2 linked regions of the Nothobranchius furzeri genome follow. The protein of the gene in region 2 binds, or shares a complex with, the protein of the main gene of each other region. Links are inferred from orthologs where the notes say so. Each region holds a gene or a part of one and is shown on either strand. Other genes may lie near its edges. The genes, in order: mios and seh1l.

The links.
Region 1: the proteins of seh1l (region 2) and mios are in contact, whole or in part, in a cryo-EM structure (PDB 7UHY), measured with the Homo sapiens proteins. The link is inferred for Nothobranchius furzeri from reciprocal best matches to the Homo sapiens genes SEH1L and MIOS. Residues at the interface, in NP_112493.2 of Homo sapiens: Met1, Phe2, Val3, Ala4, Arg5, Ser6, Ile7, Ala9, His11, Lys12, Asp13, Leu14, Ile15, His16, Asp17, Val18, Phe20, Phe22, His23, Gly24, Arg25, Met27, Trp47, Ser173, Ser174, Ser175, Asn230, Leu231, Gly232, Arg233; in NP_001357005.1 of Homo sapiens: Arg279, Arg316, Ser317, Phe353, Glu354, Arg355, Ile356, Ser357, Leu358, Ala359, Trp360, Pro362, Leu366, Met367, Trp368, Ala369, Cys370, Gly371, Arg372, Leu374, Tyr375, Glu376, Cys377, Thr378, Glu379, Glu380, Glu387, Asp389, Ile390, Ala391.

Annotation. Positions count from the first base shown.
Region 1 is NC_091745.1:63,836,917-63,840,834, reverse strand, and holds the start of mios (GATOR2 complex protein MIOS), read right to left. Parts: upstream 2,708-3,918; 5' UTR 2,616-2,707; intron 1,626-2,615; 5' UTR 1,578-1,625; coding exon 759-1,577; intron 668-758; coding exon 178-667; intron 1-177. Other genes in the region: col28a1b (collagen, type XXVIII, alpha 1b), read left to right, coding at 3,489-3,651. UniProt on the Homo sapiens protein: As a component of the GATOR2 complex, functions as an activator of the amino acid-sensing branch of the mTORC1 signaling pathway. The GATOR2 complex indirectly activates mTORC1 through the inhibition of the GATOR1 subcomplex.
Region 2 is NC_091745.1:49,023,665-49,027,582, reverse strand, and holds the start of seh1l (nucleoporin SEH1), read left to right. Parts: upstream 1-1,090; 5' UTR 1,091-1,170; coding exon 1,171-1,281; intron 1,282-1,638; coding exon 1,639-1,689; intron 1,690-3,575; coding exon 3,576-3,722; intron 3,723-3,809; coding exon 3,810-3,918. UniProt on the Homo sapiens protein: Component of the Nup107-160 subcomplex of the nuclear pore complex (NPC). The Nup107-160 subcomplex is required for the assembly of a functional NPC.

The sequences.
Region 1 (3,918 bases), about 15 Mb from region 2:
TTAGCCTTCATGTGAAACTCAGTGACTGACCATATTTAAAAACGACAAGGAAAAACGGCGTCTCTCTGAACTCGGTCTTCATAAAATGCTTTAAAACTTTTGGAAGTTGATTTGCTACTTCAAAAGCTCTACCTTTACTCACAAGTATTTCTGTCACTTCATCACCATAAAGGATATAGGACAGATCGTACCACAAGGACTTGAGCTGGGGGTCATTCCCTCCAGCCAGCAGGTGGTTTCTCCACACCTGCAGAGTGTCGTGTCCGTACCTGGACTGAGCTCGCTCCCTCATCTTAGTGGCGATGTCTTTCTCAACGGTGCTCTCCGCTCCTTCGGCCGAATCCTCGGCGCAGTCGTATAAGTGTCTCCCACACGCCCACATGAGTGATGTGGTGGAGCTCCAGGCCAGAGAGATGCGCTCGAACACGGTGAAATCAGTCATGACTCGGTTGGTCGCGGACACCACCACCATGCGGTTCTGAGAGGAGGGGTGCCAGGCAAAGCTGCCAATCTGGCTTTCACATGGCTGCACGCTCCGCTCGATGATGGTGGGCTCTGTTTCATCCCCGATGGGCGTAGGAGTGTGTTGCATGTCGTACAGGCGGATGACGTTGCTGTCACGCGTGAGCGTGGCCAGAAGGCCGGTACGAGTTGGACACCATGCCACCTGAGAATGGAAACAGCAAAACACAGCTACAGTCTAAAGAATGAAGCATTAAATAAATGTCTCTTTAAAACAGGAAAAGGCTCCTTCATACCTTGGTAAGAGGTTTAGACTGCTCTGTAAGTGTGAGCACAGGCTTCTCAAATTTTCTCAAGTCCCAGATAGCCACCTGCCCCTCAAAGAAGGAGGCTACACGGTCGTGGAAGTGTGGGTCAACTGTCACGCCCTGGATGGCCTTGGTGTTGACAAACATCTTCTGGCTGGTGTTTCTCAGGTCAAATATTGCAAGGTTCCTGTGCATACCAGCCAAGAGCAGCTTGGGGTCTCGAAACAACCAGCACAGAGACAAACAAGCATCGTTTTGGCCAAGCTCATACAATGGCTTAGTCACTACCATGCTTGAATCCAAATCCACAGTTGAGATACGGATTTTCTCAGCTGCTACGCTGGTCTCTGGGGCGAACTTACTGCTAATATCCCAAATAAGAACAGAGAAGTCGGCCCTGTGCTTGTCCAGCCCTGCAGCCAGTAAGTTGTTGTCCACAGGGTTCCAGGCTAAAGTGTTGCATTGTCGCGCATGTTTGGGCACAAACTCTTTCCCCACTAGCTCTTTACATGTAGAGTTGTGGCTCTGGCCCAAACTGGTGAGCACAACTCTGCCATTAGCTTGTCCCACTGCAAGTAAACACTCAGGCTCGTGCTTCGGGTACCAGGCCACACATTTCATATAAGGGGTGTCAGAGTTTATAGCCAATAAAGTAGCAGCAGTTTCTTCGGAGAGTGGCAGAGTGCCAGGCTTTGTTTCTGTGCCACCCACAGGCCCAATGCGATACAGTCCTAGTTCAGAGTCGCAGATGACGTAGCGGTCCGGGTGGTGAGGAGACCACAGGATGTCCGGCTTTGAGCCACTCATGATTCAGAAGGAGCAAAATGAGCTTCAACACAGTCTGCTTTCAACAATCTGGAAATATGACAGAAGACATGGGAGACTGTGAATCAGACAGCAGTGGGTAGATGTCATCTCACAGCAGGCAATTGTGTAATAGTAAAAATAATGCAGTGCAGCATGATGCAGTTCTGGTCTACATGAGATGGTGTATGTATTTCTGCTGGAGGGGGACAGATGTCAAAATGACTAAAGACAGCTAATTATTCATGCATCAATTATTTTTTGACACAAAATGAGTTTAAATATTTTGTAAAATTTTTTACTACTGTAATATTTTACAACATCACATTTTATAATTTCAAAAGTTATCAAAATCTGGTTCAATAATATAGAACAAATGAGAAACGCGTTGATCCTTATATTTATTGTGACTTATAAACATAGCATGAAGTCAAAATGTTTCATGTTTGTTTGTCAGGGCTTCATTACCAAAGAACCAGATTTAGAATCATTGTTGAAGTTCTTCAATATAGTTTCACTCCAACACATTTTATTTTTAAAACCCTCTTTTTATTTCTTTGTGATTACTGGGATTCTAAGAAGATAGTGTTCACCCAGAAAGATAAAAACATACTGATCATGACCACAGATTATGATAAATTCGATTGCATTTGGAAGTCTTGAGACTTTTCCGCAGTAATCTCTCATAAAGTCAATCAATTAAGGTCAACGTGTGAAGAGTTAGCCGACATCTACTACTGAAACTTTGCAACTGATTTCAAACAGTTGAGTCACCCACGAGATGCTAACTAGCTAACAAGTTCTGATATCTAAATGAAGAAATCATTGTGGGCCCAAAGTTCAACCCATCTACTAAAATCCAAAAGTTGCACAAGCTCGTGAAAGAAAAGTACCAAATTTGCTTGTATGCTAGCTTACCTAAGCTAAGGCTAACGGGTGAAGGACGTGCTAAACAGGTTCTCCTTCACTAATTTACCCAGCAGTAAAAACGATTTCGCTACCAAGTGATAAAATTAACAAAAACAGTAAATTAGTACTTACATGTAGAACCTTTAAAAAGCCGACCGAGTTATGTTTTGATGCACACATGTCGTATACGGATGTTGTGTGCAACACCAAAATAATTCCGTACTGATTAAAGTGAAGAGAGTTCCGCAAGGTAACTTTCCCCGCAAGAGGGCGTGCAATGCGCAGGGAACGAATTGCCTCTTCTTCTTTTTTTTTTCAAACCAAATAATTATTTGTCTTATGGAAGGATTAAAACATTATAACAGATAGAGATTGTGTGACTTATTAAGGATTTTTATTTACTGAAAAACTTTGAAACTATTTTTAGATAAAGTAGATTAAGTTATTTGTTGAAATAATCTATTTTATTTATTAAATTATTTGTAACACTGCAAGGTAACCATTCCACATACAAATTAAAATATGTTGTTTGGATTAAGCATAGGATTTAGAAACTATACAATCATTATTATTGCTTTTGCAATCACCATTATAAAAAAATCACACAAAAAACTTTATTTACGTAGCCAATAATTACAGACAGGCTTCTAAAGGAATGACTCTTGCTCATTCATAGCTGAGGGAAGTCCTGGCGTTGAGCCACAGCGTATCAGCTCATCTCAGTCTGGGCTTAGTGACCCGATCCAAACGGGGCGCAGAACCTTTCTCCCACGGTCTGCATGGGCCACAGTAACTCATCACATCTGAATCAGGTAGAAGCTGATTTTTCATTTTACTTATTTAATGATGGTAAAAGTGTTTATTGCTGCACGATCATCATCATCATCATCATCATCATCTAAGGGGTTTGAAGTGTCACTAGGGCCCTGGGGAACCTGCCCAGATGCTGAAGCGGGATGTTTGTTTTGTATTTTCCATGCAGACCTTCCAAAGCCGGAGTTTGAGATGCTGCTGCTGGGAAGTCTGAGCAGAGGACTGGGGCTCTGGCTGCTGCTGTTAGCTCTGATTCATGAAGCCACCGGGCAGAGGAGGAAATCATCATGGAGGAAAAACTACACACCGCGTGATGATGGAAACGAAGTTCTCAGCGTTAGCCGCAGGAATACTGGTGAGAATCTTTCACTGGATCAGGATTGAGGAAACGGGATTTGACTGAACGACAAGATAAAATGATTTAGTTTCTCATTCCCTGACTAAACTGAAATGGTGAATACTGTGTGTTGTTGACCGCATGACTAATGTGTGTACTACAGTGAATAGCCCCGACCCATCGGGGGAGTCAATAGCAAAACATTTTTGCAGCAAATCTTTGATGTCCTGTTAGCCGTGAGACCAGGCGTCAGCGGGTCAGACGTGTTGTTTTAGCTCATCCCTC
Region 2 (3,918 bases):
ATCCCGTTCATGTTCATGTTTACGATCCGTGTTTGTTTACCATTTTTTCCCTGCCAATATGGCGTCTACTAACTGAGAGTCACGTGGGGTCCGGAGCTCTATAGATGTGTGTAGTCAATAATTTGGCACTTTAGTGCATCTTATAATTTAAATATGCAGCCTAAAACTGTCAGTGTTGCGCCCCCTTCAGGTAAAAACTCTGCACTACATTTGAATTTAAATCTGCCATCACTGTTGGCTAAGAGGTACCCTTTGAAGTCAGCTGGTACATTATGATGTCACAATGCCGTTGTGAACCTGTTTGTGTGTGTTTGTTAACGGCTCCGCCCTCTCGGTCAGCCAGGCAAACGCATTCGTTGCATTTTTCAAACATGAAGTGGGAGTGTAGTAAGTTTCTTGTAGTGTGACTTGCTCTTTAATTAAATGAAATGCTACAGCATTTGTGGCCATAGCAACTCATGAGGGGAACTCATTCTCTTATTGTTTAGCTAAAAATGCAATAATAACTGTATTTATGTTACAGGTTAAACACGGTCATCTCCCCTTCCCTTCTTAACAAAACCAAAGTGTAATTCCCCAATGCATAAACATTAACATGCTGGTGCTGGTGGTGATGAGCTACATCGTAGCTACAGTTGCCCTGGGGCTCATTGTGTGTGTGTGTGTGTGTGTGTGTGTGTGTGTGTGTGTGTGTGTGTGTGTTTGTGTGTGTGTGTGTGTGTGTGTGTGTGTGTGTGTGTGTGTGTGTGTGTGTGTGTGTGTGTGTGTGTGTGTGTGTGTGTGTGTGTGTGAATAACTGGTTGTATTGTAAAGTGCTTTGAAGGGGGTTGTAGAACCCTAAGAAGTGAGTGACTTATGCTTAAGTGTACCATGAACATCTCATTTGTATCTAAAATGCAGTAAATTCGCCAAACTTGGCAACCCTGTTTGAATTGAAGCACCCCCCCCCCCAATGTGGTTCACTGTTCAAAAACCTCTCTCTCTCTCTCTCTCTCTCTCTCTCTCTCTCTCTCTCTCTCTCTCTCTCTCTCTCTCTCTCTCTCTCTCTCTCTCTCTCTCTCTCTCTCTCTCTCTCTCTCTCTCTCTCTCTTTCTCTCTGTCACGTGACAGGCGGGAGCTTGTGCTAACCAGTGCAGTGCAGCTAATCTCGCTGTTGTTTTTCTTCTAACCATGTTCGTAGCTCGGAGTATCGCTGCGGACCATAAAGATCTGATCCACGATGTCTCTTACGATTTTCACGGCCGGAGAATGGCAACATGCTCCAGCGACCAGAGTGTGAAGGTGAGCTGACTCAAGCTAGCATGTTAGCGTCACCCACGTTCCTAGCTTCTTACTGAACACACTCGTGTTGTGTGCTGGCACATTATGCGCTTATTAGCTAAATTAGACAAAATTTGTTTTAAAACTATAAACTAATTTAAAGTATTGCATGTTACTGTACTTACATTGTAGCATGCAGGCTAATGTGTGCAGACGTTTGACTGGAATATGAACGTATCAGTAAAAGCTTCAATCACGTAAGGCAGCGAGTGTTGTGTTTTAGGTAGGAACCATAGGAACTCATTTCGTGTGTTGTCAGTTTAAAATTAATGTGTGGAGATGACGTAACAGCAGCTGTTTATTGTGACTTCCTGACAGGTTTGGGACAAAAGTGAGAATGGAGAGTGGCACTGCACAGCCAGCTGGAAGGTAAACAACCTGCTTACGTTTGTTTACATGACCGTAAAAGCCCTTCCTGGGTAATCTTTGCTGTTTCAACAGATTTACTATTGCTCTACACTCACGGGCACTATCAAGTTTGCCAATAGATCCGGGTTGGACCTCTTTTAGACCTCTTTAGAACCACCTTAATCCTTCATCTCAAAGAGCCAACAAGAAGTTAAAGTGGTCCTCAGAGGCTCTGGTCCAACCTGACATGACAGCATCGGCTCCAACCATGATGAGAAGCTCCAGTTCCACCACATCCCAAAGGTTCTGGGCTGGACTGAGATCTGTTGACTGTGGAGGCCATTAGAGTCCAGTTCTAGAAACTAGTTAGAGATGATCTGAGCTATGTGACATGGTGCTGCTGGAAGTAGCATCAGAAGATGGGTCTATGTGGTCATAAAGGGCTGGACATGGTCAAACTCTTCAGCTTCTCTTCTTCTATTCTATACAACATTCAAACCATGGAAATGTCTTTTCCTCCACATTCTGATGCTCAGTTTCAACTTCAGCAAGTAGCCTTCATCATGTCTAGATGCCTAAATGGACAGTGCCGCCCGTCATGCGATTGGCTGAGTGGAAATGTGCAAAGCTGTAGAATAGGTCAATCAATCAAAGCTTTCAATCAATCAAAGCTTTATTTATAAAGCGCCTTCCGCAACCCTGTCAGGAAGCCCAAAGCGCTGAACATGGTACAGTTGTAAGTAATTATATTGAATAAATCAACAATAAAAGAAATTCAAATTACAAAATACAAATTACAAAATACAAAATGGAAATTACAAGATAGATGAAACATTCCGGTAAAATACAAATGTGTGAAACACATTTGGATTGAGTGGATGGATTGAGTGTACCAATGAAAACTGTGGAATGGATTCAACATAAAAGAGTGCCAAAATCAAACATGTTCTGGAAATGCCAAGCGGAGGAGGTGTGTTTTTAGGTGATTCTTAAAGACTGGCAGAGAAGGGGACAGCCTAACTGAGGGTGGCAACTGGTTCCAGAGTAACGGTGCTAGGACTGAGAAAGCTCGGTCCCCACGGGTACGACACCTAGACCGAGGGACAGCGAGCAGGCCTTGGTCAGAGGAGCGCAGAGCGCGTGATGGGGAGTGTCTTTTCAGGAGTGTGGCTAGATAGGGGGGAGCACCACCCTGGAAGAAATGATAAACAAAGACGAGTATTTTGAATTGTGAGCGATAGGAAATCGGAAGCCAGTGCAGGGAGGCCAGAACTGGACTGATGTGGTCCCGTTTCCTGGTCCCAGTCAGGAACCTGGCAGCGCTGTTCTGCACAACCTGTAGGCGATGCAGTGTTGACTGATACAACCCTGCATATAGAGAGTTGCAGTAGTCAAGCCAAGAAATTAGAAAGGCATGCAGTACCCGCTCCAGGTGGGCTCTTGACAGCATATGCTTGATTTTAGCAAGGCGTCTCAGGTGAAAGAAACTGGACCGGATCACAGAATTGATGTGAGCATCAAATTTAAGTCCTACATCAAGTTTCACCCCCAAACTGGTAACAACTGGTTTTGAGTATGGAGAAAGAGGGCCAAGATCAGCATAACGATCCACATTCCTGCTGTTGGGGTGAAAAACAATGAGCTCTGTCTTTCCCTCATTCAGATGTAGATAGTTGGACATTAGCCAAGACTTCACCTCATTAACACAGGAGACAAAGGACTGAATAAAGTGACCTTTCTCCTGACACAATGGAGAGTAAATCTGGCAATCGTCAGCATACAGATGGAATGATAGGCCATGTTTACGAAAGATTGACCCCAGAGGTAGCAGATGTACCTATGAAGTGACTGGTGAGTGTATATTTGTGTATTTTGGACTTATCCATGATGTAATGATGTGTGTGCAGACCCACAGTGGATCAGTGTGGAGAGTAACCTGGGCCCATCCAGAGTTTGGGCAGGTCCTGGCCTCCTGCTCCTTCGACAGAACAGCTGCTGTCTGGGAGGAGATCGTAGGGGAGTCCAATGACAAACAGAGAGGCCTGAGCCACTGGGTTTGTACAGCCACAGCTCAGTCATTAATGTTTTCATAGGTTTGCCTGTCTCGAGTCCTGACCCGTGTTTCTGGTGCTCTGATTCAGATAAAGAGAACAACACTGGTGGACAGCAGAACATCTGTAACTGATGTGAAGTTTGCTCCTAAACACATGGGTCTGATGCTGGCCACCTGCTCTGCTGATGGAGTGGTGA